4 linked regions of the Struthio camelus genome follow. The protein of the gene in region 3 interacts with the protein of the main gene of each other region in a biochemical or structural test. Links are inferred from orthologs where the notes say so. Each region holds a gene or a part of one and is shown on either strand. Other genes may lie near its edges.

The links.
Region 1: the proteins of BTRC (region 3) and NFKB1 form a complex in vitro, tested with the Homo sapiens proteins (3 studies listed by BioGRID, with this or other methods). The link is inferred for Struthio camelus from reciprocal best matches to the Homo sapiens genes BTRC and NFKB1.
Region 2: of the proteins of BTRC (region 3) and CDC25A, one has a biochemical effect on the other in vitro, tested with the Homo sapiens proteins (3 studies listed by BioGRID and IntAct, with this or other methods). The link is inferred for Struthio camelus from reciprocal best matches to the Homo sapiens genes BTRC and CDC25A.
Region 4: of the proteins of BTRC (region 3) and CCNE1, one has a biochemical effect on the other in vitro, tested with the Homo sapiens proteins (2 studies listed by BioGRID). The link is inferred for Struthio camelus from reciprocal best matches to the Homo sapiens genes BTRC and CCNE1.

The regions. Positions count from the first base shown.
Region 1 is NC_090945.1:27,039,497-27,046,429, reverse strand, and holds the start of NFKB1 (nuclear factor NF-kappa-B p105 subunit), read left to right. Parts: upstream 1-3,926; 5' UTR 3,927-4,002; coding exon 4,003-4,123; intron 4,124-6,933.
Region 2 is NC_090943.1:992,589-1,000,465, forward strand, and holds the start of CDC25A (M-phase inducer phosphatase 1), read left to right. Parts: upstream 1-4,870; 5' UTR 4,871-4,992; coding exon 4,993-5,144; intron 5,145-7,877. Other genes in the region: E3 ubiquitin-protein ligase TRIM7-like, read left to right, coding at 181-296, 764-796, 2,029-2,540. UniProt on the Homo sapiens protein: Tyrosine protein phosphatase which functions as a dosage-dependent inducer of mitotic progression. Directly dephosphorylates CDK1 and stimulates its kinase activity. Also dephosphorylates CDK2 in complex with cyclin-E, in vitro.
Region 3 is NC_090948.1:16,134,284-16,142,264, forward strand, and holds the start of BTRC (F-box/WD repeat-containing protein 1A), read left to right. Parts: upstream 1-4,974; 5' UTR 4,975-5,100; coding exon 5,101-5,148; intron 5,149-7,981. UniProt on the Homo sapiens protein: Substrate recognition component of a SCF (SKP1-CUL1-F-box protein) E3 ubiquitin-protein ligase complex which mediates the ubiquitination and subsequent proteasomal degradation of target proteins. Recognizes and binds to phosphorylated target proteins.
Region 4 is NC_090951.1:14,457,013-14,464,963, reverse strand, and holds the start of CCNE1 (G1/S-specific cyclin-E1), read left to right. Parts: upstream 1-4,944; 5' UTR 4,945-5,049; coding exon 5,050-5,063; intron 5,064-5,167; coding exon 5,168-5,258; intron 5,259-5,507; coding exon 5,508-5,576; intron 5,577-7,951. Other genes in the region: C10H19orf12 (protein C19orf12 homolog), read right to left, coding at 3,035-3,117, 4,201-4,273. UniProt on the Homo sapiens protein: Essential for the control of the cell cycle at the G1/S (start) transition.

The sequences.
Region 1 (6,933 bases), on a different chromosome or scaffold from region 3:
CTTACCTCTGATACAGCTTCCCAGTAAGAGAGACTGGGACACAGCTAGAAAAATTTCACAATGTCTCCCTCAGCTCAGCAACATAAGTGTTTACTTGCTCAGGTGGAGCTTTAAGCACATGCACTTCATCTGTGAGCTGATCTTGTTCAGGTATTAAAGTATCTTGATGGTAATAGCGCAGCCCTGTGTTCTGCAGGAATCACAGCAAACTGCTGGCACCTGAGTCCATATAGTCTGCCTAGTTTACCTACTGGCTGTAAACAGGTCTGGGGGGGGGGAGAATATCTTTTGACTTTTCAGGTGAGTGTTTCCATGCTTTAAAGCAATTCATGTATCCAGGGTGTTCTGAGAAGGTAATTCTACCATTATGGACTTACAGCTTGATGCTGTTGTGGGTTTCAGTGGAAGTAACGCTTCTGTTACAGTGGTGAGTTATAAGAAAGACAAAGTTATGTTTTGAATTTACCTGAGAAGGGAACCAAAAGGAGAGAAGAAAAAAAAAAAAAAGCTAGATCATTGTGGAAGCTGCTTAGGCTTTTACTAGGAAAGCTGAGCCCTGAAGTAGTCAACAATGTGTCCTTTTAAAATAAATCCACCAGTTAAGTCTCCTTCAGTTTTGGAACTTTTCCACCTTGTTTGATTTTCCGGTACTTGTTCATACAGGTCTTGCCTGTGAGCATACCTGTGACTAGCTGTGACATGGCACCTTTTCTTTCAAATGAATCTCATTTTGAAACACTTTACATATTTAAAGTCTATTTAAATTTCCTTCTCACAGGGCTTTGGGACCCAGTTCTCTCTTCACTCTCACTTCAGTGTACTTGCTTCCACAGAAGAGCTGAACATTGGGTCCTGAGAGTGCAAGAAGTAGCTTTTTTTAATAAGGAAAAACATATTTTACTCAGAAATGCTGAGTCATGAAAAAATGGGTTGGGGAGAGAATGGGGGAATCCATTTCTAGAACTGCATCACAGAGTGATGTGACAATCCAAATAAAGGAAATGACTCTCACCATACATATGAATATATCCCCTGTATGAGATTTCAGTTCTCTTATTAAGAGATGGAGAAAATCCTTTGTGTTTCCAAGCTGCCTTTCACAGTCTCAGCACTAATCTTAAATAACATCTCTATTCCAACTCAGATCTTGGCACAAAGTATAACATCTGAATCTATTCCCTCTCCAGGGATGAAATCAGCTACCATGTTGATAGATTAGATGTGTTCAGCAGCATAGTCTTCTTTTATGACATGTCTGGTAAAAAAAAATAACCCTGTCTCTTTGTCCCAGTGATTGTTTATCCCAGGTTATATTATTAATTAATTATTATTAATAATATTAATTATTAATAATTATATTATTGTATATACCAGATTTTATCCCAGATTGTTTATCATTTGACCTTGTTTATTTTGGCCTCAGTTTTGCCTTGGATGTGAGTTTGTTGCTTCAATATAAGAGAAATGAGTCTCACCATTTAATTAAGTTATTTGTTTTATCCTTCTTTTCAGTTACGATTTTTGCTAGTCTCATTCATCTCTCAGAGGAATAATCCTTTGGTGAAGATATGCTACCTTGCAGAGTCTTAGCACAACAAAAGTCATCCACCAGCACTCCCCTGTTGCATGGTTGAATTCCTGGCCTAACACACATCAGGTGAGCTATACTGGCTGCTAAGCTGAGATGCTCCTCACTCTTAGCAAACTGGAGGTTTAAGCCTCAGAAGAAATTCAATAAATTCAAATATTTCATCCGACATTTGTGACTGGCCAAACATGGTACTGGTCAGTTAGGATCGCTCAGCTGAATGACAGTACACCCTTCAGCCTTAGATCTACCTGACAGATTTGCTTACAGTACTAAGGCACTAGATTTTGATACTAAAAAAATCAGTATATGATTGATGGTTGGTGCTATTTAACAGAAGTTCCACTAACCTGGAAGTCTGCTCTGCCAGGAGCTAAAAAAAAAAAAAAAAACCAAACAACGGTGGCATGTAGCCTGCACCCCCTGCTCAGCACTGTTTTCAGATGTTTGGTGGTGGGCAGTGAATAAACCTCCATTTACAAAGGATCCATGAAAGGAAAGTAACAGAAAGGCATTATGTTAGTAGGTTTAAATTCACTCTACGTGTATTCCCTCTTCCCTTAGAAACTTTTTGGGGGTCAACAAACAAAAAAACATTTACAGCCACCTGGTTAGGCCTGACTCCACAGAAGTCTTGACAGCATCCCCGTGGGTCACTCAACATGGACAGGGTTATTCTTGTGGTGGCGGTAATTCCTCCAGGCCAAAAAGGCTCATGTAGTCACACAACTTCCTTCAGGCTGAGGGCCTGTCCGATCAAGAGCAGTTCTGAGAGCCCTGGGAGCTGGGAGAGGGATTTTGCCAGCTAGGGGTGGGTGGCAGACGCTTCCTCAGCTCTGCGCTGCCCTGCCTGCTTCCGTGCTGTCTCCTCCCTTGCCCAGGGTAGGCTTTTCCTCCTGCGCTTTTCCAGCATAGTGAGGTGGGAGAAGCCACAGACAGAGCCCCTCCAAAGAAGGCTGGCAGTGTTCAGTGCTGTACAGGTGCTCCTTCATCCCTCCAAGTGCTCCCCCTCAACAGTTGCCTGCTCTCTCCTTGCACCCCAACAGCTCCCCCTTGACAGTGCCCCCCCTCACTCCCTCCCTGCCCCCCCCAACAGTTGCCCCTCAATGGCTCCCTGCTCTCTCCCAGTCCCTCCCAACAGCTGCCCTCTCTACCTGTCCCCTCTCCAACAGCAGCTCCCCGTAACGGCTGCCCGCTCCCTCCCTGCCCCCCTCAACGGCTGCACCCCCTAACGGCTGCCCGCTCCCTCCCTGCCCCCCCAACGGCTGCGCCCCCTAACGGCTGCCCGCTCCCTCCCTGCCCCCCTCAACGGCTGCACCCCCTAACGGCTGCCCGCTCCCTCCCTGCCCCCCCCAACGGCTGCGCCCCCTAACGGCTGCCCGCTCCCTCCCTGCCCCCCCAACGGCTGCGCCCCCTAACGGCTGCCCGCTCCCTCCCTGCCCCCCCCTAACGGCTGCGCCCCCTAACGGCTGCGCCCCCTAACGGCTGCCCGCTCCCTCCCTGCCCCCCCCCAACGGCTGCGCCCCCAACGGCTGCCCGCTCCCTCCCTGCCTCCCTCCCTCCCTTCCCTGCCTGCCTGCCTGCCTGCCGCCCCGCCCCGCCCGCGCGGCCGTTGCGCTCTCGGAGCGTCAGCGGGAATTTCCAGTCAGGAAGTGCGGCGGGCCGGGGGGCAGGGGCAGGCGGGTGGCCGCGGAGGTGGAGGCGGCGGCGGCGGCTGCGCAGGCGGCGGCGGCCCCGCAGGCCGGTGCCGCTCAGCTGCCCTCGCCAGCGGGCCGGCGGAGGGGGAAGTCCGTGCGGAGCCAGGGCGCGGGCGGCGCCGACGGCGTCACGCCGGTTACATGGCGCGGCGCTGAGGGACGCGCGGCCGGGCCCCGCCAGCGGGAGACGACGACGACGGCGGCGACGGCGACGACGACCGCGACGAGACGGCTCCAGCCCTGCCCCGGGTGAGCCCTCAGCAGCCCCTGGCCCGTCGCTTGCTGCTCTCTCTCTCTTTCCTGCCCTTCCTTGGCGCCCGTTCGCCTTTTTGCCGGCGCTTCCTCGTTCCTGCGCGGAGTCGGTGGCGAGGTGACGCCGGGCCGGGCGGGGGGCGCCGCAGGGCAGAGCCTGGCGGGCTCGGGGACCTGCGACGGGCGCCGCGGCTCGTCCGTGCCGCCGGGCGCGGCTGCCGCCTGACGTGGAGCACGGCAGAGGGAAGCGCAGGCGGCTCCTGCCCGCGGGCGCCGTCCGGGGCACGGCGACACGAGCGGCCTCCGCTTCCCGGTGCGGAGCTTCTGGGCAGGGCGATTGCTTGCCACTGTGCTTTCTCTTTTGCTGTGGATTTAAACAACGCCTTCCGTGTTCGCGTACGGACCGCGTCGGGACTCTTCTGTTTAATAACTCTTAAAGCGCAGCTACAGTGGGCTTTTCTGCTGATGTTTGTTGTAAGGGGACGTCCTAACCTGGAAGAGATGTCTGTGAACTGCTGTCAAATAAACGCAAAAAGTTGGAGAGGCGTTTCTGCTGACGGGGGAGCGGGGTGCTTGCTGTCAAAGGGTATGCTGGTTGTTGCGCGTTTGGTTTCAGAGGTGGCGTTCGGGCTTGACCTGAGAAACAGTTTGGAGCATCTGTGGTTGTACGGTCATTGTCTGGCCTTAAGGGGGGAAAAGTTAGCATGCAGACGGTTTTGCCGGTGGCACCTTGGTGTCCTGATCCTGGGTGGGGATTGCAGAAGGTCTTTCAAGTGAATGTCGCAAAGAATATTTAAAAAAAAAAAAAAAGCTGCTTTCGGATGTGGTGTACTGGTGGATTTTTTTAAAATTGCACTAGTAAGTAATGAAACTGAAATGTTCTCCCAATGATATAAAAGTATGATCTGAATGGTTGTTTTTGTTACATGTGGCCTTAAAAACGAGGAGATTCAACCGTTCATCCTCACCATTATTTTTACTTGTTGGCGCTTTCTGCTTTGATTTCTTCAATTAAGAAGCTCTATTGACTTCTTCCATGTGAACACAAAATAGAGTGTTATTTCTGAACTTCAGTATAGATGAGCTATGTGTTATTTGGCTGCCGTTTTAATACGGTATACTGGTATGTACTTCCATTCAAAGGAGTGAAAATATAAGTGCCTGTAAGCATTTGCAGGATTAAGGCTAGAGGTCATCACAACTTCAGTGCTGCATTTCAGCTTCCTGTTAAAAATACTCTAATCTTTGCTAAGGGTTAAAAATACTCTAATCTAATAAAAAACTCTAATACTCTAATACTCTATGTTAAAAATACTCTAATCTTTGCTCTAATCTTTACATTTGAAAAGTAACACATATTTTTAAAGCGCATAATGTGTTAGGCATGTTTAATTCTATGCTTCAAAGTCCTCCTTTCATTTATTCTTTTTAACAATAACATTAAGTCAATATTAAGTGAATGTATTCTCTGCTGAATCGCCTTATACCCTACATCACCTTATACTTCACTAGAGTCAGGTGCTACACCACCTTAGGCAGCCTTAAACTGCCACTGTCAAGCTCGCACAACTCGGTTGAAAATGTAGGTCTGGGTTTTGTTGATATTCTAGAACTATTGGAATAATATGCTAGTCAGAATATATTTCTGGTTTAAAGACAGATTTTTATATTTTCAAGAGAGAATGCAGCTGCCCATTCTATGAAAGAATTAGAATGACGTCTTAGTTATCTGCAGTGTTTTGTACTACAGTTTAGTTGAGCAGTACAGTTAGGACTACATTTGAGAAAATGAAAGAGGAAAAATGAGCCTGTAGATTCTCAGCTTCTCTAAGCTTTCCTGGCTCAGTAATTTAAGTGACATTTATGCTGAATTTTTATTGTCAGGATCTGCCCCAGAGGGTATACCTGGAAATTTCAAGGAAACTCAGTGCTGAGATATGCGCAAGACTTGTTAAATAACAACTTAAACTGAAGTATTAACCAGTCGATGGAAAAAGAAAGCCTTTTCCTTTCCACCCTTTGTCCCCTTTTTCAAGAAAGAAGTGTCCATTTAACAGTAGTTATCACAAATCAAACTGGTTTCTCTTGTGAGTAATGAGTACGTTTTGGATAGAGTTAAGATTATGAAACTGAGAATGGCTTTGTTTCATTTTGTGTCAAGTTGTGTGTTTTAAAAAATAATACTGTAGCAGATAAACTTCATACTTGATAGAGATGCGTAGTTAAATTAGCATCTAGATGGAGTTTTTTTGGTATACATTTGAAATCAGAAAAGTTTCCTGGAAAAAAAAGTGTGCTAGGAGAGAGCAATACCTTGTTCTCACCTTGGTAGGGGGTGAGAGGGTAGAAAACAGACAGCAATATTTCGTTCATATGTAAGGTATAAAAATTTCTTGCTTTGTTTATTGAAAGTTAACAATTATTTTAATTAGTTTTCAATGTTATTATGTACTTAATCTTTTAAAAATAATGTAATTTGCTTTTTTCAGTGAGATGTTGTTATGTGATTTCATAACATTCAGTAACGGATACCTACAACCAGCTATTGACTTGAATTTGGTAATTAATAAATTTCTGAATTTTCATGAGAAGCAAAGTTCCTGCTTTCCAGCACTGCCTTTTCCCAACACCTCCCCAAGCAACTGTCACATGGAGACATGCAAGGTCCAGAAATAAGTGCAGTTAGGAAATTTGTGTTACCCTGCCCATCAGCACTGGTGACCCTGGAAGCAGAGGAACCCAGTGTGAAGACGCTTGAGTCTTCGCTATGAAGGATGCTCCGTACTGCCGGGGGTGTTTAAGATTCGGTGGTGCAGACTGCCTCTGTAGTTACACACACCCATACTAAATGTTGTATAGAAGTTGCAAAGATACAGTGAAAAACAATGTATTTTTTACTAACTTAGGGTAGGCTGTTGTAGCTATTGATCAGAAAATTCTGCAGTCTTTAGAGATACTGTTTCGTTGTTCTATGTTTTCATAGATCACTTCAAAATTTACCCGCTGAAATGTTCCCACCTTTCGGTGCTGAAAATGTTTGCCAGCTCTAGATTCAGAAGTGTTTGTCTTAAGAGAGAAAAACATATTTATTTCCTTAAGCAACTAAAGTAAAGTCTAAATTTAGCTTCTTTGAAACTTTTTTTTCTACATATTGGTAGTTTTTCTTTGGTCCTCAGTGACAAAATAACATAGGTATGAAACAAGAGGAGAAAATGTTTGGGGTTAGGTAATGGATAGGAGGAATTCTGATCTTGGTCACTGTCAGCTCTGACCCAGGTATCTTAGAAATGGAAGTTGTAATTTTATGTCCATTAAATTAGCTGTGTAGCCTTTTTAAAAGTTCTACATTGATAACATCGTAATTACAGTTGTCATTAATTGTGCCCTTAGGTCAGC
Region 2 (7,877 bases), on a different chromosome or scaffold from region 3:
GGGGCGGCTGAGCGCCGCAGGACCCTGCGTGAGATGAGGAGAGTAATAGCTCAGCTGAATTTTGCAGGCAGACGTTTCCTCTTGCTATACGGGATTGTTCCCCGCTGTCTCCATCCTGGCCCCAGGTGCTGGCTCACTGCTGTGGTGAGGGCTCACCTCCACGTTGCTGTGTCTTCCTAGCTGCGAGACAGCGAAAGCCCCGATCCCGGAGCCGGTTTCCTTAGAGCTGCAGAGGAGAGTTTGCAGCCTCTCCAAGACGAGCAAGCTGGTCATGGGTGCCATGGCTGAATTCAAAGGTAAAGCAAAGAAGCAGTGAGCGATATCTTGCTGCACAGCCTGCGCCCAGGCCCCACGTGGGTTTGCCGCTGCCCCAGGGCACTGGGCCATGCTATCTTTAATGAACACGTTTGCTGAAGCTCATCTGCGAGCCGCCTGGTGCCCAGGGGGTTTAGGAGGGGGCTCTGCAGAAGCCACGAGCTGTGCCTCCTGCTTGTCTCCGCTGCACACACGTGTCCGTGGCAGAGCTGCTCCCGGGAGCATCCTCGCGCTGTGGCCTCTGCCCAGGGCACGGGCTCATCGCACCGGCTCCAGGCAGGGCCGCAGCTCTGAGACAGGCTTTGCTGGAGCCTGGGGTGGGCGGCAGGAGGTGGGCAGTGGGGCCCAGATCAGGATTTCATCTCTGATGGCCTCAGTGCTCTAAGGGGAGCAGGAAAGAGGCTGCAAGAGGAAAGAGAACTCATCCCTCCCCCTTTCCTTCCTCTAGTGAATCTGCTGAACAAGATGGATAGAGAAAAGGGTAAGTTTCTGGAGCTGGTGGGCACAAGCAAGGGAGAACAGCTTTCCTGAAATAAGTTTCCTCATGTCCAGAGGGTAGAGATAGGCTCACACCATGACATCTGAGTCCAGGTCCCTTCATTTTGACTAGGCCCACTATAAAAATGCAGGCCCATTCCCAAGCTGAGAAACCGCCAGAGACACCGTTCTCTAGCACTGCACAAGACCCTCTGCCAGGGCAGCGCTGGGCCCTCGGCTTCGCTGTCTCTCTGGAGAGTTTCTCTTCTTTCGCCGTGATTTGTAAGGGATTTAGTAGATAAACGCAGGTGGGTCCGTTCCTGTGGCCGGAGCAAGAGGGGCCCATAAGCATTTTGAGCTGGTTTTTAGGCACAGAAGGGAAATGCCTCTGCACGCGCTTGGGGGTGCCTTCGGGCCTGGGAGCACCACAGGGCTCGGAGCTGGTCGGAGCTGTTTGTGGTGAGGCTGGTCGCTGCCTTGTGGTTTCGTGGCCGAGGACCAGACTCGCAGGATGGCGTTCCTCAGTTTCCCCTAAGCCGCGGTCCCCGCCACGAGCAGAGGCCCCAGGAGGAGCGGGCTTAGCGGAGGGGCCGGGGTGGTGGTGCTGGGCGGTGACACCTCTGTGGCCTTGCGGGACGGCCGCAGGATGGCAGCAGAGCATCCTGCGTTAGCAGATGGCTCCGGCTTTGCAATGAGACTGCCTGGTTAGCGGGCAGAGCGGGGCCTTGGGAGCGGCTTCTCTCTTTGGTGGGCGCTTGTCCCTTGACAGCGGAGCAGGGCTTGGCCTGGCACCATCACACGTAACGCTTCCTCACTTCCCCCGGCGATAGGCTGTTCCCCTGCGGCCCTTCGGGTACCCCTGTGCCCAGCCTGGCTGGGAGTGCTGCAGCTCTGTTATGCTTAAGCCCAGCAATAACGGGGATGTTGGGAAGCAGAGGTTTGGCAAAGCGCAGTGTGTCGGCAGGAATTCAGAGCATCCTCCTCTGTGTCAAAGAGCCCCGGGGCGTGGGGACGCTGCTTGGCCCAGTCCTGCTCTGGGAAGTGTTGCTTCTGCCAAGCTTCGCCCGTGGTGGACGTGGGGCTGCAGCCTCTGGGTCCCTGCAGGGAGGGTGGGGAGGGTCCTGTGCCATGCGAGGGGGCTGCATGTGCTGCGTGCCTGCTTGCGGGATGTCAGGAGAGGCACTGCTTTGCCTGTCGGCGGACGACGGACTGACGTTTCCCTCTGTCGTTCGTTAGTGAAGGTGACCCTGGACCCGGAGACGGCAAACCCTTACCTGGTCCTGTCGAAGGACGGCAAAACCGTGCGTCTTGGGGAAGGACAGCAAAAGCTCCCTGACACCCCCAAGAGATTCACAGGCAGCCCCAGCGTCCTGGGCTCCCAGGGGTTCACGGCAGGGAGGCATTACTGGGAGCTGGAGGTGGGGGACGGGGACAGCTGGGCCGTGGGGGTGGCCGTGGAGTCCGTGCAGAGGAAGGAAGCGCTCAGCCTCGCCATGGGAGGGATCTGGGCCGTGCGGCTGGACTGGGATCGCCAGTACATGGCGCTTACCATGCCCCCCACCCCACTGGTCCTGCAAGAAGCGCCTCGGCAGATCAGGGTCCACCTGGACTACGAAGCCGGCGAAGTGACCTTCTACAACGTGGAAAACATGACACAGATCTTCCAGTTCAAGGCCTCCTTCACTGAGAAGGTCTTCCCATACTTTTGGCTCTGGTCAGCGGAATCCTATATCCGGCTGTGTGACTGATGGGGTCGGATGCCTCCTGGTCCCCTACCCGTGCCTTTGGTTAGCTGAGCGGGAGGGCTGCGTGGGGACGGCGCGGCGTCGCGTGGCAAACTCCCCTTCCGCTTGGGCTGCCTGGTGTCCGCATGCTGCTGCTGCTCCCGCTGCTGCTCGTCTGCTGGAGCATTAAAGATGCGCTTGGCCTATCTGGGGGTGTCCGTGCTGGTATCCTGGCCAGATCTCACAGTGGCAGTTGTTGCTGAGGGCGCAGCCACACGGATAAGTAGGGGAACGGCAGGGAAGGTGCTCCAGCCCTGGTCCCCGATTGCCCACGCTGGTCTTTGACAGCTCTGCTGGCTGCTTTTGGCTGCGTGTGGTGTGACGTGGGGACACGGCCGCCCTGCACCCTTGCTCCCTGGGGCTGGGAGTCGCGGGGGGATTTGGGTGAAGCCGCGGAGTTGCTAACGGTGCTGGTAGCTGCCTGCATGAAACCGCGTTGCAATGAAGGTGGTAAATTAAAGGGGCCCAGGGGAAACGGCGGCTGCGGAGCAGCGGGGACCTGGGGTGGTGTCAGCCTCGGGATTGAGGGGGGCGCGGGACCGGCAGCTCAGCGGTAGACAGGACGGCAGAGGACGCGAGTGCTGCCAGAGGCCATCGCGGCCCCTCTGCGTGAACGTGCCCTCGTGCGTTGCCATCAGCTCTGCGCGCAGGTCTGCTCCCCGGAGGAAGGAAAACATCCGGAGATGGGACAAAGCTGACCAGAGAGCCCCCGCGGCGTGGGTCACAGAATCACAGAATCATTTAGGTTGGATGGGACCTCTGGAGATCATCTAGTCCAACCTCCCAGCTCAAGCAGGGTCACCTAGAGCATATTTCCCAGGACCACATCCAGACAGGTTTTGAATATCTCCAGGGAAGGAAACTCTACCACCTCTCTGGGCAACCTGTTCCAATGCTCTGTCACCCTCACAGTCAAGAAGTTTTTTCTCAGGTTTAGGTGGAACTTCCTGTGGTTCAGTTTGTGCCCGTTGCCTCTTGTCCTGTTGCTGGGCACCACGGAGAAGAGGCTGGCCTCATCCTCTTGACACTCCCCCTTCAGAGACTTGTACACGTTGATGAGATCCCCTCTCAATCTTCTCTTCCCCAGGCTGAACAGGCCCAGCTCTTGCAGCCTTTCTTCCTAGGAGAGGTGCTCCAGCCCTCTAATCATCTTGGTAGCCCTCCGCTGGACTTTCTCCAGGAGTGCCACGTCTCTCTTGTCCTGGGGAGCCCAGAACTGGACCCAGCACTCCAGGTGAGGCCTCCCCAGGGCTGAGGAGAGGGGCAGGATCACCTCCCTCCACCTGCTGGCAACACTCTGCCTCATGCACCCCAGGAGACCATTGGCCTTCTAGGCCACAAGGGCACACTGCTGGCTCAGGGTCAACTTGTTGTCCACCAGCACTCCCAGGTCCTTCTCTGCAGAGCTGCTTTCCAGCAGGTCAACCCCCAGCCTGTCCTGGTGCATGGGGTTATTCCTGCCTAGGTGCAGGACCTTGCACTTGCCTTGGTTGAACTTCATGAGGTCCCCCTCCGCCCAACTCTCCAACCTGTCCAGGTCCCTCTGAATGGCAGCACAGCCTTCTGGTCCCTCAAGGCCGTGCGGCCGCTTTTCGTTTTTTGTTTTCTTTCTTTGTTTTAAACCTTTGAAGTTTCCAGCCTGGAATGGCCGTTTCCCACTCGTGGTTATACGCCGTGACTTTATATTTTTAGGCACCGGGCGGGTGTCGCTTCCCCGGGGGATGCTGCACCCTGTGGCGGGAGGGCGTTTCACCCCAAACAGGACGGGGTGAGAAGGTTTACGGGCCTTAAAACAACCCTTGTCGCCGGGAAAAAAAAAACGGGGGGAAAAAAAAAAAGGCACCCGGCCTTTTTTAGGGCTGCGACAAGAGTGAGGGGAGTAGTGTGAGTAACAGGCCCCCATGAGGGCGGCTTGACTGGAGGCGCCTCAGGGAGGCTGGGGACTACATTTCCCAGCATGCAACGCCGAGGCGGGCAACGCGTTCCACGCGTTGCCCGCCTCGGCGTTGCATGCTGGGAAATGTAGTCCTCTCCGCCGGCCACAAAGCAAGCCCCCCCCACCTATTCCTCGAGGCACCCCATTGGCCGCCCTCTCTGGCAAAGCCTATTGGCCGCAAGCGCTGTCAAGCAGCCCATGAGGGGAAGGAAGGCGATTCCCGGCGTTTCGATTGGTCGGAGGAAGGAGCGGGCGGGGTAGAACTAAAAAAAAAACCCCACCCACCCACCAAAGCCCTGAGGAGACGCTGGTTCTGATTGGCGGAGAGGGAGTTTGGCGCCAGCTTCGGAGCGGGGGCGGAGCGGGCGGGCGGCGCGCGCGCGCCGGGCGACGGGTGGCGGCGGGGGTCAAAGCGGCGCGGGTTGTTAGGGGGGCGGGGGGGGGAGGTTGCTGACAGGAGGAAGGAGTCGGCTCGCCGCCATGCACCGTGCGCCGGGGGGCTCGCACCGCCGCCGCCTCCTGCTGCTCTCCCCGGCGCCGCCCGCCGCCTCCGCCGTCGTCAAGTCCCTCTTTCCCGCCGAGCTCTCGCCGGTCTCCGACCTCCGCCTCACCATGGAGCAGCTGGGACGCGGGTCAGTCCGGCCGCAACCGCCCCCCCCCCCAAAAGGAGGGAGGCCTCGAGGGCCCCTTTCTGCCTCCCCCCCCCCAAAAGGAGGGAGGCCTCGAGGGCCCCTTTCTGCCTCCCCCCCCAAAAAGGAGGGAGGCCTCGAGGGCCCCTTTCTGCCTCCCCCCCCCCAAAAGGAGGGAGGCCTCGAGGGCCCCTTTCTGCCTCCCCCCCCCAAAAGGAGGGAGGCCTCGAAGGCCCCTTTCTGCCTTCCCCCCCCCCCCCCAAAAAAAGGAGGGAGGCCTCGAGGGCCCCTTTCTGCCTCCCCCCCCCCAAAAGGAGGGAGGCCTCGAGGGCCCCTTTCTGCCTCCCCCCCCCCCCAAAAGGAGGGAGGCCTCGAGGGCCCCTTTCTGCCTCCCCCCCCCCCAAAAGGAGGGAGGCCTCGAGGGCCCCTTTCTGCCTCCCCCCCCCAAAAGGAGGGAGGCCTCGAGGGCCCCTTTCTGCCTCCCCCCCCCCCAAAAGGAGGGAGGCCTCGAGGGCCCCTTTCTGCCTCCCCCCCCCCCAAAAGGAGGGAGGCCTCGAGGGCCCCTTTCTGCCTCCCCCCCCCCAAAAGGAGGGAGGCCTCGAGGGCCCCTTTCTGCCTTCCCCCCCCCCAAAAGGAGGGAGGCCTCGAGGGCCCCTTTCTGCCTTCCCCCCCCCCCCAAAAAAAGGAGGGAGGCCTCGAGGGCCCCTTTCTGCCTCCCCCCCCCCAAACGGAGGGAGGCCTCGAGGGCCCCTTTCTGCCTCCCCCCCCCCAAAAGGAGGGAGGCCTCGAAGGCCCCTTTCTGCCTCCCCCCCCCCAAAAGGAGGGAGGCCTCGAGGGCCCCTTTCTGCCTTCCCCCCCCCCCCCCAAAAAAAGGAGGGAGGCCTCGAGGGCCCCTTTCTGCCTCCCCCCCCCCAAACGGAGGGAGGCCTCGAGGGCCCCTTTCTGCCTCCCCCCCCCCAAAAGGAGGGAGGCCTCGAAGGCCCCTTTCTGCCTCCCCGCCCCCCCCCAAACGGTGGGAGGCCTCGAGGGCCCCTCTTCCCCCTTCCCTCCCTGTCCCGTTTCCCGCTGGGGTTCCTGCCGCGCAGCTCTCCTCCCCCGCCGCGTCCCCCCTTTCCGCCCCAGCCCGCGGCAGCGCCCCGTCCCTGCCCACGTGCTTCCCGGCGGCCCGGGGTCACACCGTGCGTCTGCCCTGCGCGGCCCCGGGCTGCCGCCTCTGCCCCCACCCCGCAGCGCCTGCCTCTCCCTCCCGGCGGGCAGCTCTCCTCTCGCTCCCGCCGCTGCCTGCCTCCCGCGACCCTGCGGCCGCCCCTCGCCCCCCGCCTGGCCGCAGGCCTCGCGGCTCTGCCGGCCTGCTCTCCCTGCTCCGCTCCCCTCCCAGCGCCCGCTGCCCCGGTGCCCTGTCCGGTTCTGCTGTTTCCAGGCTCTAACGTCTCTCCTTGTTCCTACAGCAACCTCTGCAGTTTCCCTTACAGGGCTCCTGTCTTGCCCTGGCCTACTGTCCGGTCCTGACAGCCCTCCTCGTGTTTGTCCTTTACCTCCTGTTTTTATAGCATTCTCCTCTCTGTAATCACTCGCTTCGTGGCCCTTCCCTCCTTCGGATTCCTGGAATTCCTGCAAACAATTCGCAGCGCGCTCCTGCACGCTCGCTGTTTTATCCTTAGAGTTTGTAGGCTGGCACGTCTTCTGAATTGACCTATTTGATGTACGAGCCGCGCTCGTGTAGCCTTTCCCTTCCCTAACGTACCAGAGGAAGGCCCTGCGGGACGTGCGCCTGTGCCCCGTGTTGAAGGGGTTGCGCCTGCAGCCCCGTACAAAGCCGGGGCGCGTGTGACGCGCCCCGGCGGGCCGGCACGGCAGCCTGCCTGGAGCCTCTCCGCCTTCTCGCGGGGCGGCTGGTCCTCGGACGCGTGCTGTGAGTCGGGCTCTGAACGCCGCGCGCCCCTTCATCTGCAGAGTGACGTAGATCGCGCCGATGGTTACGTGCGCGGGGAAAAGTGAACCTTGGGAAGTCAAAGCTGGAGACCTACCTACTTAGAAGGGGAGACTGTTGGAGTTGGACAGTTGGCCCCCCCCCCCTCAAAGTGTAGTTAACTGAGCAGGGCTGCGAAGGAAGGTTACAGCCCCAAGGAAGACAATGGCGCCCTGATACAGGGGTTTCTAGGGAACAATCTGGGAGGTGTCGATATGATTCAAGGCAACAGTATCCTATTGCACAGTTGCAGTGATTTTAGTCCTGAGGTCTTATCACAAGGCCTGTCGCTTTGTTGTGTTAAAACCTTCATTTGTGATGGCACAAGATCAGGATAAAGCATCACTTAAAAAAAAAAAAAAAAAAGTGGGGTGGGGAACACTTCACAGTTAATGTTATGCAGAAAAGCTTGGCAATCTGGCGCGAGGGGGCCAGAAGGGCTTCCAGGAAAGTCTTAACGGGCTGTTTCTATCCCTCTGTCAGTCTGACTCTTAATTTTGGTGGTCTAATTTCTAGTGTTATCAATACTGCATTTTAGAATTAAAAAACCAAGTTCCTGCAGACAATAGATGTGAGCATAGTTGGAAGTGTGGTGGGGTGTGTGATGTATCTGCTGTTTAGCACACAAAAGGCTTCAGTCTGCAGGGTTACCAAGCTGGAATCCTTTCACTTAGCCAAGAAGTGTTATACTTGCGTTGCGTTACCACATTCATGCACTGTTATGTTGTATTTCTCACTTTGCTGAACGCTTAAAACAACAAAAAAAT
Region 3 (7,981 bases):
CCCGCGGCTCTCTGCCTTGGCCTTCCAGCGTCTCCAATAGCAGTGATGGTGCTCTGCCAGCAGGGAGAGCCCCTTATCCCCAGGGCAGTCAGCAGACCCCTGACTGGGCAAAGACGTGGGGCTTTTCACCTTGTACCTGCTGAATCAGCAGCTCTCCACCACATCCTATCCTCCCCAGCCTCAGGTGTGATTCCCACCCTCTCTCGTGCTAGCTCTGACATGTGTCTGATCACAAGAAAAGCCAATTTGACTCGCCAACAAAGAACTGTTTGGTTTGTAATCCCTGCTTTCTGCCAGTGGAGTGAATTAAAACAGCTTGCCACGCTGGCAAATGAGCATCAGAGCTAGCTCAAGGTGCGAGGTGGAAGCATGTGGCCAGGCAGAGGTGGGAGAGGGGATGCATCTCCCCTTTGCAGCAGCATGAGGTGTAAACTCAGCTCAACTTGTAATCTGAATCCACAGCCTGACTCATCTGAGGACAAGCCTCTCTCTCTAGGCACTACTGAGTCAGCCTAGAGCAACCACTCTCCGTGCCTGGACATCTAACCTATCCCATCCATATCGGTGGCTTCACACCCTTCATTAGTACTAGCTAATGGGTACTCTCCTGTCCAGCCACAGAGTGAACATACTTCATGCTCTGTGGTCTTGGCCATGTTCTGGGTGCCGTATCCCTGTCTCACACTTAGCTGCTTCTCCCGCTCACGAGCTCTAACTCTATTGAACTTTATCTGGGTGTTCAGCATTGTACGACGCACCTACAATAAGGGCTGTTGCGGCCCCAAAGATCTTGCAGGGCAAAGGGAATAGCAAAAGGTTCCCACACTGGTAGTCTGCTCTCCTGTCTCTTCCTTTCCTTTCCTCTTCTGTTGCAACCTGGAAAGAACAAAGCCAAGGGACTGCCAAAGCAGAGGAAAACAAGGCCAAACATACACAGATGGCGAGCCCACAAATTTAATTTAAAATAATCCTTTATTATTCAAAATATTAAAATTCAGGCAATAACGCCCAAAGGAACTGCACTGATTAAAGCTCCCTAACGTTTCATGGCCAAATCTTGCTGCTTCCTCCAAGGGTCACTGGGACAAGAAGTGAAACCCCTCTGGAGTGCCGAAGAGGCAGGGCTGTACCTGCTGCACATCGTTTAACCAAACAGTTACTTACTGACCCAATCTGTTTCACTTAAAGCAAAGCACCAGCTGTTCCTTACCCAATTAATGATTGCCACAGCAAATTAACATGGCGTTACACCAGGCGTGGATGTGGTCCGTAGAGTCTAGAATGCACAGAGCAATATGCTATTGCAAAAATAATCACAGTAATATCTTTACTGTTAGGTAGCATCCTTCATCTGGAAGCTCCCTGTGCGCTCTATGGCTCGCTTCATGCAACAGACTCTGTAGTGAGGGTGTTTAGGGCAGGAAGGGAAGAATAGGATCTTGTTTGAATTGGGGGGTGGGGGCAGTTAGGGGAGCTGGCCAGGGCAGCTCTACTGTCACAGAGAGTCGGCACTGGCCACACTTGTCTGGCTCTTGGTTCCTGTGATCCAAATGAAATGTTATTTAATTGATTGAAAATCTGCTGAACTTGCGGTGTACCTTCCCTATGCCTTGAACGCTGTAGATCTCTCCAGTGTCTCTCCTTCTTCTGCGTGATGAGGGTGCCTCAATAGCACAGGGCTGTAGCAGGGATCTTCAGCCCTAGCCTCCAGTAGGTGTCACAGCTCAGCAGCTTAGCCACTCTCCTGCTCTGGGACATGCTGGACGTGGCAAGCTGGTGGAGCGCAGAGCTGGCTGACCGGCCGCAACGAGCAGCCCTCAGCAGGAACGCGCTACAAAGCTGGGCTGCAAACACAGGAAATCCAGGCAAGGTTCAAGTGTTAAGGCATTATGCTTTGTGCTGAATGTTGTTGGGTTAAACGCTGCCTCTCCGATTACTTCCTCGATCTCTCTGTGCTACGTACTGCCTCATAACCCACACATAAATTGCAACGCTCTGGGGCAGAGGCTGGCCCCTTGCCCCTCTGTGGTCAGCCTGCACCGTGGGATCCTGACAGTTGTATAAGAGAATAACTGAGTTGCGCTCTCCTTCCACTAAGGTCGAGTCCAGTACCTAAACACTGACTATCATTTTGGCCCCACTACAAGTCTGTGCTTTTCATGACCCAGAGAAATTAACCCCTATGAGTTACAGTCCAGATAGATCAATCAGCCTAAAGGGCTTTGGGACAGTGGTATCTAGTGCTGAAGCATTACACATTTCAATTTTCCTACAATTAAGCTAGCATCAAATATTATTGACAAATAAACCAGGCGATCAAAGCCCTTGAGCCCTTCACGCTGCTACAAAAAGGATCCATTTACATCCCAGCCAGCTGCATCATGCCCAGAGGGAGGAGACGCAAGCGGCCATGCCCCAAGCTTCGGCAGCTCCCAGCCGCCTCCAACACAGTTAGAGGAGCCATCCCTTTGTAATTATAGGACTCATTGTAATTACTGTTACTTATCTAATTGTGGTAAGTGTTTTTAGTGCTGTCAGCATCCTGGAAAATGCCCGGGCCCATTACAGCCAAGCATTTCAGGTGTTTCATCACTGAGAATCTGAGCTTAAAGTACAATGACCAGGAGTGTGGCTGGGACAGTCCAGGAATAGCAGCCCATGTCCTGGTGACCTAGAAGCTGTCTTTGGAAGATTTCTACCTCCTGGGACTTTAGAGGCAGGGCATACGGTTATCCCTGCCTCATTCTCTGGCGCCACTGCTCTAGGCACCTTCCCGATCCTAGCATTGCGACTGACCGGAGAGGAAAAGGCAAGGACCCATCCCCGGCGCCTGCATGGAGTCATGTCACAGTGTCACCTGGGCTGGGTAATTTGCTGGAGGACACACTCCTACCATTGGGTTAAGAGATGCCACCCAGGGCACATGTCCCTGCAAGGAGTTCAGTAATGGGCATATTCTCTGCATCTTTTCTCTTTTTCTCTCTGATTATCCTGTGTAGAAATAGGGATATGAAGGGGCGTTTAAAGAAGATGAGGAAAGGGCTGGTGTGTAGAATGTGGCAAATTGGCCTCCGTGTTTTGCAGACAAGAACTGTCTCCTTATTTCGTACCGTGCAACAACACAGCGAGGCCATCCTTGGCTCTCGGCTTTTGGCCTCAGTACCAGATGTGATAACAGGTTGGTGTTACCAGTCCCAGACACTCAGAAATCATGAGTCAGGCCTCAAAATCTGTGAAGCTGGCTTTGAAATCCTGAGGTTCCTTTTAAATAGGGTGAGTTTGCGGGGGGTCCCTTCTTTATTTCATATTTCTGGACCACAGGATGAATGCCAGTTCACGTTTTAGACTTTCCTCTATAAACTGCAACAACTAGAAGCCCCAAGCCCTGATGTAACTTCAAGTGCTCTGAGAAAAATACGGTAAAGTTGGCAACATTATTCTTACCAAATACTCTGTTCAGAAGTGTGCGCAGCAGAATAATGAAATGTATTGCAAATAAAATGCTTTGGGGATAACATTTAGAATTATGTATTTGTTCATTGATGGATTCTATCATTTTAAGATTATTCTTTTCCCCACGATTACGAGGGCTAGAAATGATTTATTTGTCATAAAATAATTTCCATCCCCACTGTTACATTGATCCCATACTTGTCAGCACCGCAGTGTTATGGGAAATGCCAGATATGGGAAGGGTTGCTGTCATTTCATAAGAATTAGCAACAGATGGTAGATAGGTCCTGGCTCTGATTATCAGAAGATGCTGGTATCATTCCTGCAACATGAAGCTTTACTTTGTAGATTGAACAGTGACAAAGAGAATGGGTTTAGGTTGCATGTTGACAAGTAAATGCTGAGGTTTGTGGCTTCTAAATAGGAAGAAATTGAAGGCACCTCACTTAAGATGCAGAGTCAAATATAGAAAGAATGTGAGTGTTTTACCGGATCACACCCTAAGTAAGAGTCAGTGCTGTGCTTGCTGTAGAGAAAGGTAAAACAAAAGGGGGACAGTATGGTAAACACCTTCCAGCCTATGCACAGTTGTTATAAGAGGGCTCCTGTCAATTGTTTTTTTTCTTGTTTGCTGCTTTATACAGCAAGGAGAAGTAGGTGTAATTTTCAGAGAAAATAGATCTAGCTTTGTTATTAGAAACAAATCTAAGTGCAAGGGCAGTGGCAGGTTGTTTTCATGTGAGGAATTGTCTTTGCAGCAAGTTTTCAACAAGTATCTCTCAGGGATGGTGTAGGGCTACTTGATCCATTCCAGTGTTGCAGGTTTCCCAATTTCATGTTCCCCTGCCAGGAAGCAACACTTAACCCGCTCGACCCAACTTCCACTCCATACTAAGACACCAAACGTTTTTGGTACCAACTCTATGCATATTTGCCATACGTACATATATGCCAGTGCACAAGATTCATTTTAGATGGTATTTGGGGCTGTACTAAAACAAGCAATAATTGACTTAGAAATCAATCGCACTCAGGCATTGAGCGCAACTGCAGCAAAACAAAACAATTAGCGAAACTTTTATCGGCACCATAAATTGCCGGTAAGCAGCTATGCGCGCTCTCAGGTGCCAGGCACCCTGGCAATTAGCCGCACCCAAGGCACTAATTGGTAACCGAGCAGGGCTCTGACTTGGGAGCCGGGCCGAGACCTCATCGGGGAAGGTTGGGGCTGGAAGGCCCCAGACGCCCCCAGGGAAGGGGCCACCCTCGTCCCCGCAGCGGCCATGCGCCCTGCTCGGCTCTGCCCTCCGTTACGCCCGCCACAGCCCCTTCCTACTACAACTCCCATCAGCCCCCGCTCCCTCTAGCGGCGCATGCGCCGGCCGGCTCCCGGCGTGCCCCTGGCCGCGAGGCCTTCTGGGCCTCGTAGTTTTCATGTCTTCCTCAGGCCCTTACTGGCAGAGCGGCCAGGGACTCCATTTCCCGTGGGCCTGCGGGCGGCGCATGCGCCGCGCGGGCAGCGGGGCGAGGTGGAGCGGGGGGGACGCGGGGAAGCGCAGGTTCCTGTCTGCGCTGGCTGCGGCCTGGCACTGAGGGAAGGGGCGACCCCGGCCCCGGGCCCGGCGGCGGTGGCGGCGGCGCAGGACTATGGACCCGGCCGAGGCCGTGCTGCAGGAGAAGGCCCTGAAGTTCATGGTGAGGGGCCGCGGCGGTGGGAACGGGGGCACCTGCGGGGGTGGGGGAGGGGCGCGGGGTGAGGTGGAGGAGGAGAAGGGGGAGCCAGGCCGGGGGGGGCCCTCGCTGGCGTTGCGGTGAAGCAGGGGGAGGTGGCTGTCCCGAGGGGGTGAAATGTGGGGGGCTGGGGAAGGGGTCTGGTGCGCGGTGCGCAGACCGGGGGGCCGCAGGTGCCGCCTGGGAGCGGGAGAAGTTCAAACCGGGCTGGGAGGGGGGAGGGGGCGCTGCGTGTGTCCGCTGGGTTTCTGCTTTTATTTGTGTACTTGAGCCTCCCTTTCTGTAGTGCGCACCAGCCCGCTGCGGTTCTTGTTCTGTTTTTCCTGCCTCTCTGCCCCCAGAGCTGTATGTATTGCCACTTTAATCCTGCGCCTCCTCCCGCTGTGTATCCCTGATAATGAATGTAAAGAGCACTTATATTGTCTAGGTTTGCGAGTGGGTCTTTGACACAGAAAATAGCCTTGGGGTGCTTGCATCCAAGATGTTCTTTGAGCGTGGCTAGCTCACTCTAGGTTTGAGGCATGATACACTTGAGTTAAAACATTATTTCATTCTTTTTTATCATTTATTGGTATTTTCAAAACTTTGGGCTACAAACAGTAAGATTTGGAAATGGAAACAAACTGCTGCCAACCAACTTGAGTATTAACTTTAGCCCCAAACTGTTCTTTCCCTAAGGATGTTACTTAAATGAATGGCAACACTTGCTAAAAGTTTGTTTTGGATCAGTGCTTTCCATGGTACAGAGTTAAGTTTAAGTTCATCAAGAAGAAGCAGTTCTATTAGATCTTCGGAACGTATGCTCAAAATGAAATTGAGGAAATGCTAGTTGCAAATTTTAATTTTTAACTGCTCTTCAGAACACTTGCTTGGCTTGCGGCTTTTAATCTTGTAGAACTTGTTTCTCTTGAGACTTTTTGACCCTTTTGCTAGTTTTCTTAAAGCTTGTCAAATTTCTAGAGTCTCAGTTCAACAAAGTGGGAAAACTTTGTGGATAGCTAAGTAGGCACGGAAGCAAGTAATAACAAATTATCCTCTTTGTTGCGTGATTGGCTGTTGGAGTATGCCAGGTCCTGCTGTGCGTGCATTTGGTCAAGCTTAGTAATTACAGTCTGCATCTGGATAGATAGTGAGTTTCATATCCGGAAAAGTTTCTCTTGAAAAGTTTCTGTCTTGCACCAAAGGACATTGTAAACACATTATCCTGACATCTCATACGCTGCTTTTTTCCCACCCCTTGTGCAAAGATTCCCATCTAAGAGTTTATTCCAGGTACTTGAAATCCTCCATAAGATTGGGCCTGGCTACCTGAGGGAATTCTTGTCCATCTTGCAGCTGGCTGTGTTCCACTCAAACAATAAAAGTCCCTGGCACTAGGGAGAGGCCTGAGTGTGAGAGAGTGCAGCCTACAGGAGCTGTATCTGTTAAGAGCACAAGACAAAGGAAAGAATGATCAAGGGTGGGGCTGCACTGAGAACTAAAAGCTAAACTAAGTTCTTCAATATTTTATTAAAAAAAAAAGAAAAACCTCTCATATGCAAAACAAATCTAAAAAGTGCAACAGAACATGTAGCCTCCCTCTGTTGCCTCCCAACTGTTTAGGCATTTTTGTTTGCAGGTTGACAGGAGAGTGAGAAAGGCTTTTGTGTAACGCATCTTAAGCTTTTTCTTTCACATGCATTTATATAATACCTGCCTCTCACTTTAGTTATGTTGACAAAGTAAATCTTTTATTGGACATTGTGAGGTCTTTCAGTCTTCCCCCTTTGCAGTTCATGGAGATGTAGCAGAAGTAGGTTGTTTCAATATGTAAGATTGTCTTATTTAACTTAGATATCAGCTTGACTGTGCTAGAAAGTCTCTTGTTTCTGTCTTTTACACTCAAAAAGTCTTTAGGTACCGCAGTAATAGCGTTGCTACAATTACCTACCTAGATTGGCTAATGCATCCTCTCAACTGATGCTGAATCATTCGCAATGTATTATCCTGTTCATCCAAGTGTGTGAAACGCTTCATGTACTGTTTTCTTATTAGAGGGGTCACAGTTTGGGTTGAAGGGGACTATGCTATTGAGTATTGATTTTTCTCAGTGACTTTCCCAAGTGCCAAGATATTTCATCGTAGTAAATATTCAAATATCCCTTGTAGGGATGGGACCTGCTACCTCCACAGCTTTGGGTGGTTTTGTTTCTGATACAGATTTCGACTGAATTTCATTTCATGTTGAAAACAGCCTTGTAGGTGGTAGTATTTTTGTCCTTCTCTAGAAAAAAAATATTACTTTTTCCACTTAAAAATAACTGTGCCTAATTTTTGGCAGTAACTTTGAGCTTCTCTCTTGAATCACAAGATATCAGGTGAGACAGACAGTTTTTTTTTTTTTTTAAATGTCTAACTCCAGCAGAAAATGTCATGTTGAAATTTTGTTCCCTGTTAATCTTATGGCCGAAGTAGATACTTTTTAGAAAATCACAGTTTTATTTCTTGTTTCAGAAATCAAGGCTATATTTGACACTTTGAAATACTGTTTTTTTCCGGGTGCAAATGTATATGTTACTTTTTGATGGAAGAGAAGAAGGTCTTTTTCTTCCTGGCTGGTATTGGCTAGATTACCTGCCAGCAAAATGATATTACATTTAGCTAATATCCTCTATTGGTTTCTCAAGCTATCTGTGTTTAGATGTAATACATATAATCCAATACTTCCAGGTTTAAGTAATTTATTTAATTATACTTGCCTCTTCAAGTTACCTCTACTTTTCAAGAAGGCCTAATTTATTTCCAGTGTTAAACTGCT
Region 4 (7,951 bases), on a different chromosome or scaffold from region 3:
GCTCAGAATAGCAACAAAGGCATCTGCAGAGACCACACTGGCAAAAGAAGCAAACCTGAAATCTTGCTTGGTGACAAGCAACATAATACTTGCAACACAATACTGCATTTTAAAAGCTCAAATAAAAATAATTCTTTTGGAAAAAGTGCATCTTTAACAGTCTTTCCTGTCAGCTATTCAGGTAGCTGCAACTAGATAATAATGGTAACTAGTAAAGCGAGTTACATCAGTGAAATGAACAGAAACTTCCACTCTGCTTTTTTCTGGCTACAAAGCAGGCTTCCCTCAGGCTGAGTGGAGTGAATAAAAGTTAAGTAACTTGCACTCTATTTTTGCATCACTACTTTTTTTTTTTTTAAACAAAAGAAAATACAAATGGGAGGGAGCATAACGTCTCATAATTTGCTGCTTATAAAGTCTTGTCTAGGGAATTTCATTGTTCAGCAACACAAGTACAAAGCATAATACGTCTTCAGCCCAGATGACTTCCTATCTGAACACTCACTTGTTTTCATTATTGTGTTCCAATACCACAGATCTCTCATATTTATTATGTTAAACTGCTAACGTGCCAGATAAGTCACTTTTTGCTGAATAAAAATTTACTGTCAGGCGCAATACGTGTTGAGTGAGACCATATACTTCACTTTTGAATGTTAACACTAATTCAAGTAACTCGAGACAATATCCCAACATCTCCTGGTGGTAACAAGATGGTTATACATCTTAAAGACTACGGTAAGCAGCATTTGGAACTGCAGTCAGTGAATATATCCATAGAGAAGAAAAAAAAAAAGCTGTAACTTTCTAGGTCTTTTTCCACAAGAAAAAGAGAGATAATTTAGCAGTTTACTCTTCAGTACTGAAGGGGAGAAACAAACATATTCCCATTGGGAAGCAAAAAATCTAGTTTGGAAGAGCGGTGATCTACATGCAAAAGCCAGGAATCTCTTGAAGTATCCATCATGAAAACCTATGTCTCTCTCAAGTACTGAGGAAAAGCTAGACAACTGAATTCCAGAAAGTGTTAGGCAACCATACTGATACCTATGGAAGCTCTCTTCCTTATCTCTGACCTTTATGCCTTAATAAAAGACTTTTTTTGTTATACAGCTGTAACACTATTATGTATGGACCTATAAGTTCAGCTACTTAACTTCAGAATGATTATTGTGGAATATTTACTGACACTCTCAAGAGCCCTACAATGAAATATACTAAGTCCTGAATTTCTCTAAATCTGCAGAGAAATGACTGTCATGCACCTGTCTACCTGGGAGCTAGTTCTAAAATCTACTAGAGCTCAGTCATTGCAATACAGGAGGAGAAGAGATAGACCAGTTAGAACAGCAGGCTTTATTACAACTGTTGAAAAGACAACAAGGTGTAAAATAGGAACTAAAATTCTGTGGTAATAGCGATTTTAACATTTCTCTTAAATCGCTTTCAGCTTTATGCATTTCAGCAACGAAAGTAACTGCATCTCTACCCTCCCTCAACTTTATGTATTGCTTTACATCGTGCTTTCGCTCTGCTGCTAAGGGTTTCAATGTATAATCAGTATGTAAGGAAAACAGGTAAACAAGCATGGAACGTGTGACAATGACTTTAAGAGAATTATAGGTCACTCATGTAAGCACTTCCTCTAATGCAGGAAGGCAGACCAACTACTACTCGCCACTCTTCTGATGTGGATCAAATCATCCTGTACCTCACACCGATCCTGCAACTGCCAAGACAAAACATACAGTCATAGTACAGAACTACTTCACTTTACACAGAACTACTGTACATATTTTCTTTCAGAAAGTACGGAAAGGAGGAAAACTGACTTACTCCACAGATCTTGCAGTTGAAGATTATTCTAACCGAGTAGACACATGCCTGACCGGCTCACGGGCACTGAAACCTGCCTACGTAAACATGATTCTTCCACACTGTTTATCCTTTCAACAATTTACTTCTCAGGACTCTTTCCTAATTAAGCCTTACTCTGTTCATAACCTGCTTTGTGACTTGTCAAGAATTTTGACTTTGGCCTTCTGTAATTCAGATTAAGTTTAGATCCAATCTTGCTCTGATTGTAAAGTATAATTTAAAGTTATGCCATTAAAAAAAAAAAGATTTCAAGTGGGTTGTTCTTAAAGTTTAGAAGAAAAGAGCAGCTCAGAGCACTGACTACTTGTCCATTTAAGCCATTTTTAAGTCTCGGACATTACGAAACCACGCTACCACGCCAGCAATACTGCAGGCAGGTCAAAGAAAGAGCACACCAATGCACGAAGGCAAGATGCAATGAACTTTAAAACATACCTGACCTTTCAAAGGGACATAAACTCTGTTTAAAAACTGCTGACCTACGAAGGTTACTACACCACCTTAGGTCCAATGGCAATTCAGGCAGTAGTACCTGCCTTTTCTAGCCTCTGGCTGAGAGCCGCCTTTTGGGCCTCCTCTAGATATGCAAAACAGGCAAGCTCTCTGCCAGAGGGCTATGATGGAAGGATTAAAATGGGTAGAAAAGGGTCTAAGCAGCACAAATACAACCATGGGAGAATCCTATTGCCTACAAGTGACTGAGCCATGCCTGTGCACATGCCAATCCTCCATGAGTTCACAAAAAGTGTTGCATAGAGCTAAAAATATAGTGGTTTGTCAGACTGTAAGAAGCCTCCTACAGCCAGATACCTAAAATGCTGGCAACACTAAATGTCGTAGTCAACTTTCCATCTGCTTTTTTTTTTTTTAATTGACTTGTTTCTTAAAAATTGATAGCAATCCTACTTCAGTAACTTGAACTGTGCAGCTTTTTCAATTGCTCTGCATGCACTCAATACATGGCTTAGGTTTCAAAAGCTAAGAAGGCTTACTCTATTAAAACTACATCTTGTATTTTGACCTTCTTCCTAAACTCTGTGTTTAAGATGCTTTCAGTAAGTTCTAGGTATACTTGGACTCAACGTTTTAAATGCTAGCTATAAAGAAGCAGCTTTGCGTAAATACTGCCACAAGAAGAATGAAAGCCAATACTTACAACTCCGGCATCCTTGTAAGTTTCTGCCTCTCGACAAGCTTGATCAACGATCTGGGTCAACGGAAGAGAACTTCTCGGCGTCCCTGCAAGAACAATGCTGCTTACCCCAGTGCAAGGGGAAATCAAAACCAGGCAGGGTAAGTTTTCAGTTAAGATAACTGCAGGGATTAGCATAGTGAAATAGGCAGGAACAGGTAAACTTGCTAAAAGGCTGCTGTGTCTCCTTGTGGCATGCCTTAACGGCATCTCTTTCCTTAACTGAACTTGACCTATCCACTCTCGCGGTTCAGCTCCTAAAACCAAGTTCTCAAACTTGAGGAACATCCACTATAATCTCTCATTGCACCCAATCTGCCTTTAGCTTGTCATTGCTGTACTTATTACTGCTAATCCTTCATCAGTGATGCTCATGCAACATAACCTAGGGCAAGGGCAGACCACTGGCTCTGCAGAACACCTGCACGAAACACGAGCTGACTTTAAGATTGTTTGAACTATATTAAAACTCTAACTTGCAAGGCTGGTAGCGTCTGATCTTCAGCTACTCCTGAAGTAAGAACTTCCTGACAGGAAAGAACGCTCAGCACGGGTTTTGCTTGAAAAAAGCAAAAGTTTTCCTCAAGATAATTCTGAAGTCTTTTCTGACCACGTGGGCTCCTAAAGCCAGGTACCTGGAGCCTGAGATCTGCACTCGGAACAGCTCCTCTGGCAGTCTTTAGCCCGACTTAACCCGACATGGCGCGGTGCAAGCTGGCCGCGGTGCTCGGAAGCTGCTTCGGGGAAGGGGAAGGCGCGGGGCAGGGCGGCTCCGGGCCCGGCCCCGCGGCTGCAGCTGCGGCCGCCCCAACCGCGGGGCGCAGCGCTGCCGGCGGCCGCTACTCCGTCCCCGCGCTCGCTGCCGCCACCCCCCACCCCACCCGCCGCCTCCAAACCTCCTCCCCGCAGCAGCGAGGCGCCCAGCCCGGCCAACACCTCGGCTGCGGGCGCGCAGCCATGCTCCGCGGCTCCCTGGGGCCCGGCCGCGGCCGCGGCCGCCGCCCCCTCCCGCACGCCGGGGCCCGGCCCGGGCCTGCCCCGCGCCGGCGACGAGCGGCAGCCGCGCCCCCGGCTCAGGCGCGGCCCAGAGGGGCGGGGGCGGCGCCGGCGAGGGGAAGCGAGCACCTTACCTGGCAGCGCGGCTGCGTGAACCGCGCCGACCACGGCCGAGCGGGGCCGCCCGAAGAGCCGCCGCAGCGCCATGGCCGGCGGGGCAGGAGGGCACCGTCATGGCGGCGGTGCTGCCCCGCCCCGCCCCGCCCCGCCCCTCGCTGACCGCGCCGGGCCCTCGCCGCCGCCTGTCGACGCGCCGCGGGCAGCTCCCGCCGCCGCTTCCGCGTCGGGCCCGCCGGCTCCTCCCCCCGGCGCGGCCCCGCCCCGCCCCGCCCGCCCGGCCCGACCCGGCCCGGCCGCGCGGGTGCCCGCGCCCTGCGGCGCCCTGCGCCGCTTGGCCCCGGCGCCCCGCCGCGCCGCGCCGCGCCGCGCCGCGCCCCCCCGCAGACCCCGCCCCGGCCGGGCCGGCGCTGGGCGCGGGGCCACGTGTGCGGCCCGGCGGGCGGGCGGGGAGGCGGCCCCGCGCCGCGCGTTTAAATGTCCCGCTCGGCGCGGGCCGCGCTGTGCGCAGGGACGGGAGCGGCCGCGCCGTGAGGCAGGAGGCGCCCAGCGGAGCCCGCGCTCCCGCCCTGCCCTGCACCCCGCCGCTGCCGCCGGGCGGGCAGCGCTCGCTCCCTCCCTCCCTCGCCCGCCGCCCTCTCGCCCGGGAAGGCGCCGGCGGGTCGGCAGCGCGGGCCGCTGCGGGCGGGACAGGGCAGGGCAGGGGGCGGCGGGGCCGGGGCTGCGGCCGGCGGTGCCCGGCCCTTGCCCGCGCCGCGCGCCCGCGGCCCTTTGTGGCGGCGGCGGCGGCCTGCTCCGCCCGCCCGCCCTCAGCGGCCGCCCTCGCCCGCGCAGGGCCGCAGCTCGCCCCGGCCCAGGCCGGCACCATGCGCCGCGAGAGGTGAGTCCCGCGGGCGGCCGCGCCGCCGCCGCCTAGGCCCGGGCCTCCGCGGGGGCCCCCGCCCCGGGGTGCCGCTGCCTCCATTTCTCCTCCTCTCTCGGCAGTGACCACGGCGAGGAGAAGGCGCCCGCCAAGGGCGAAGGGGGCGCCGAGGGGGCCGTGCGCGCCCGAAAGAGGAAAGCCGATGTGGCCACGGTGAGTGCGAACCCAGCCGGCAAAATGGCTCGGGCCGGCTGCGGCCCCGCTGCCCGTCTCTGCGCCGTGGCTGCCCCGAGGTCGGGCCTGCAGCCCCTCGTCCCGCTCTGCGCGGCCCCCGCCGCCCGTGGGCAGGCGGTGGTCTGCCCACCGCCCGCCCCGGTGGGCCCGACGCCCGCCGCTGTCGCGAGCGGCACGTTTCCCCCTGCTCCGTCGCTGTAATTTGAAATTATCTCTCCCTTTCTGTAGTTCTTGCAGGATCCGGATGAAGAAATTGCCCAAATGGAAATGAACAGAAAAAAGCAGTATGAAAACCAGGTAACTGCTTTGACCTCAGGTCATGGTAGCATATAACCACATGTAACTTTACTATTATTTTACAGCGCTTCGTTACTCTTGGGAACACGGTAAAGCTGCCACGTGCTGTACAGCAGTGGTTGAGGGGGCTATCAGCCATGGATGATGAAAAGCACAAAACTGCTCAGTTCATACAGCTTGCTTTGGAGTCTTTGCAAGAGATGAGGGAGGCCTGCATTGGTCTAAAATGTTAATACTTCAGCATTTCCAACTTTCCTGGGATTGTAAGGGTTCAACTTACAGAGGCCTTAATATGCACTTAATTCTACATGGGGAGACCCTGTACTGACTCCTCTAGAGACCTCTAAGAGGACAGTGATGTGCTTACATGTGTACCTTGCAGGCCAAAGCATGAGACACTTAAGCATATGAACAGAATCATCTCTTGAGATGGAGCTTTTTGCGTCCATGTCTATACTTAGGCTGGGAGAGGGGAAAGATCGTTCATTCTTTTCACCTTCTGCTCCATTCCTGCTCAAAAATATCGTCGTCAGACTGCCAGAAAACAAGGAGTTACTGATTAGAGCTTAGAAGTTTATAATATTAGATGCTAATGTCGTGGTGAAGTGTTAGGCTCGGTCCCTCTAGAGCAAAAAGGGATAACTTCTATAAAACCACTTAGGCTGTGGAAATTGGGCCAGTAAGGGGAGGCTGGTGATGACCATCACCAGTTTCCTAAATAGGATACTCTGAATGATCTGAGGTAGGAAGTCAAAACTAACTGTCACCTTAGGGTCCTCTTCATAGTCTTCAGACATGACATGCACGATGCTTTCAAACATTGAGATGCCTGCTCTAAATAAAACAGCAAGATTAGCCTACTTTCTGAAATGGGTTTATCCCCTGTCTTAGGGCATGAAGAAAGACTGCGCACTTGCATGTACACATGCACGCTCTGTCACTAGGACTTCAGCCAGTTAATGCGCATGCGGGATGATACTCACACTGCAAAAGTCATGATCAGGGAGTTCAGGCAGCGCTCATTTGGTACGCAAGGCTATGCATAATGTGGCACATCTAACCAGAAGTGGCAGCTGGAAGTTCTAAGTCTAAAGTGCTACCATAACAGATGGGCATCATTGTTTGGAATGGCCTCTGCTTGTTGCAACTGCGTATGCTAGTTATCAGTCAACATATTAAGCAGGGCTCAAATGGTGAGCATTTAATGAGAGGATCTCTTTCCCTTCTGTCTTTCTTTTGTGCATATTAAACTAATTTCTCACTTCTGACAAGGAAGAGCTGCCTGTCCTTCACCACAGTTCCCTTCTTCACCAAAGGTTTCATTCTGTGTGAGCTATGCAATGGCTTTTTGTGTGCAGTTATTGCGTAATAATAAGTATTGTTTAAAAAATCCTACCATGGACCCAATTTTGCCCTTCTTCAGAAAGATAATGGAAAGAAACTTGAAATATGTTTTACATACAGTGACCTTCAGCACTGAAAGTAGGTAAAGACTTCCAATTCTGTATTCCTGTTTTGTCTTACTAGCTTAGCAGCCATTAAATGTGACTTTGTGAATGATGGGCGTATTAAAACTTAGATAATCTAGGCAGTAGGCATTTCAAAATGCAGATTTAGGAATTTTTCAAGTTAAGCTTAGGATACTGGTGGGAATTAGGCCCTTGAGTTTGGTAAACCATAAATAAAATGGGTACCTGTGTATCAGTCTGTACATGGAGAAGATTTTTTGTCATAACAAAGTAGCCAGATTGTTACAGATCTGTTTAAAAAAAGCTAACATTTGGCTGCACAGCAGCAGCTCTTCAGTCTATGGTGTGACACAAGCTATTCTCTGATATAAATTGCCATGGGCCACTAATGAGAATATGTTTATGGTTCCAGCAGCAGTATAGCAAGCTTGTATGATAGCCAGTGAGATGGTTATGCTGTTGTGGCATGCTAATTCTAAACTGCAAGTAGCTATAAATCCAGTACAGCCTATACCACGTGACTTCTACATTAAATAAATTGTTTACTGATGCTAGTTTATACACGAGGCAAAAGACTATTGTCGCATCCCACTTTATAGCATCTTCATATTCAATTCATTAGTTTGTTTCTGTTGAACATAAGGCATGAGTTCTTAATTAGGATGCCGTTACCCTTTATGTGATGAAAGGGTGGCTATATCATCAGGTTTGTGACGGCGGAATATTGCATAAATTCTGTATTTGATTTTGGAGAACTGGTACTGCTGTAATTCTGCTAGTAATTCTCATATTAATTCTGGCTGCTTTCTGTGGACTGATACGCTTCCAAGGCTCAATGTAAAACAAAATTCATCTAACTAGATTATTGTAACCCATGTAATCTTGATACAAAGTACGTGGCCTCCA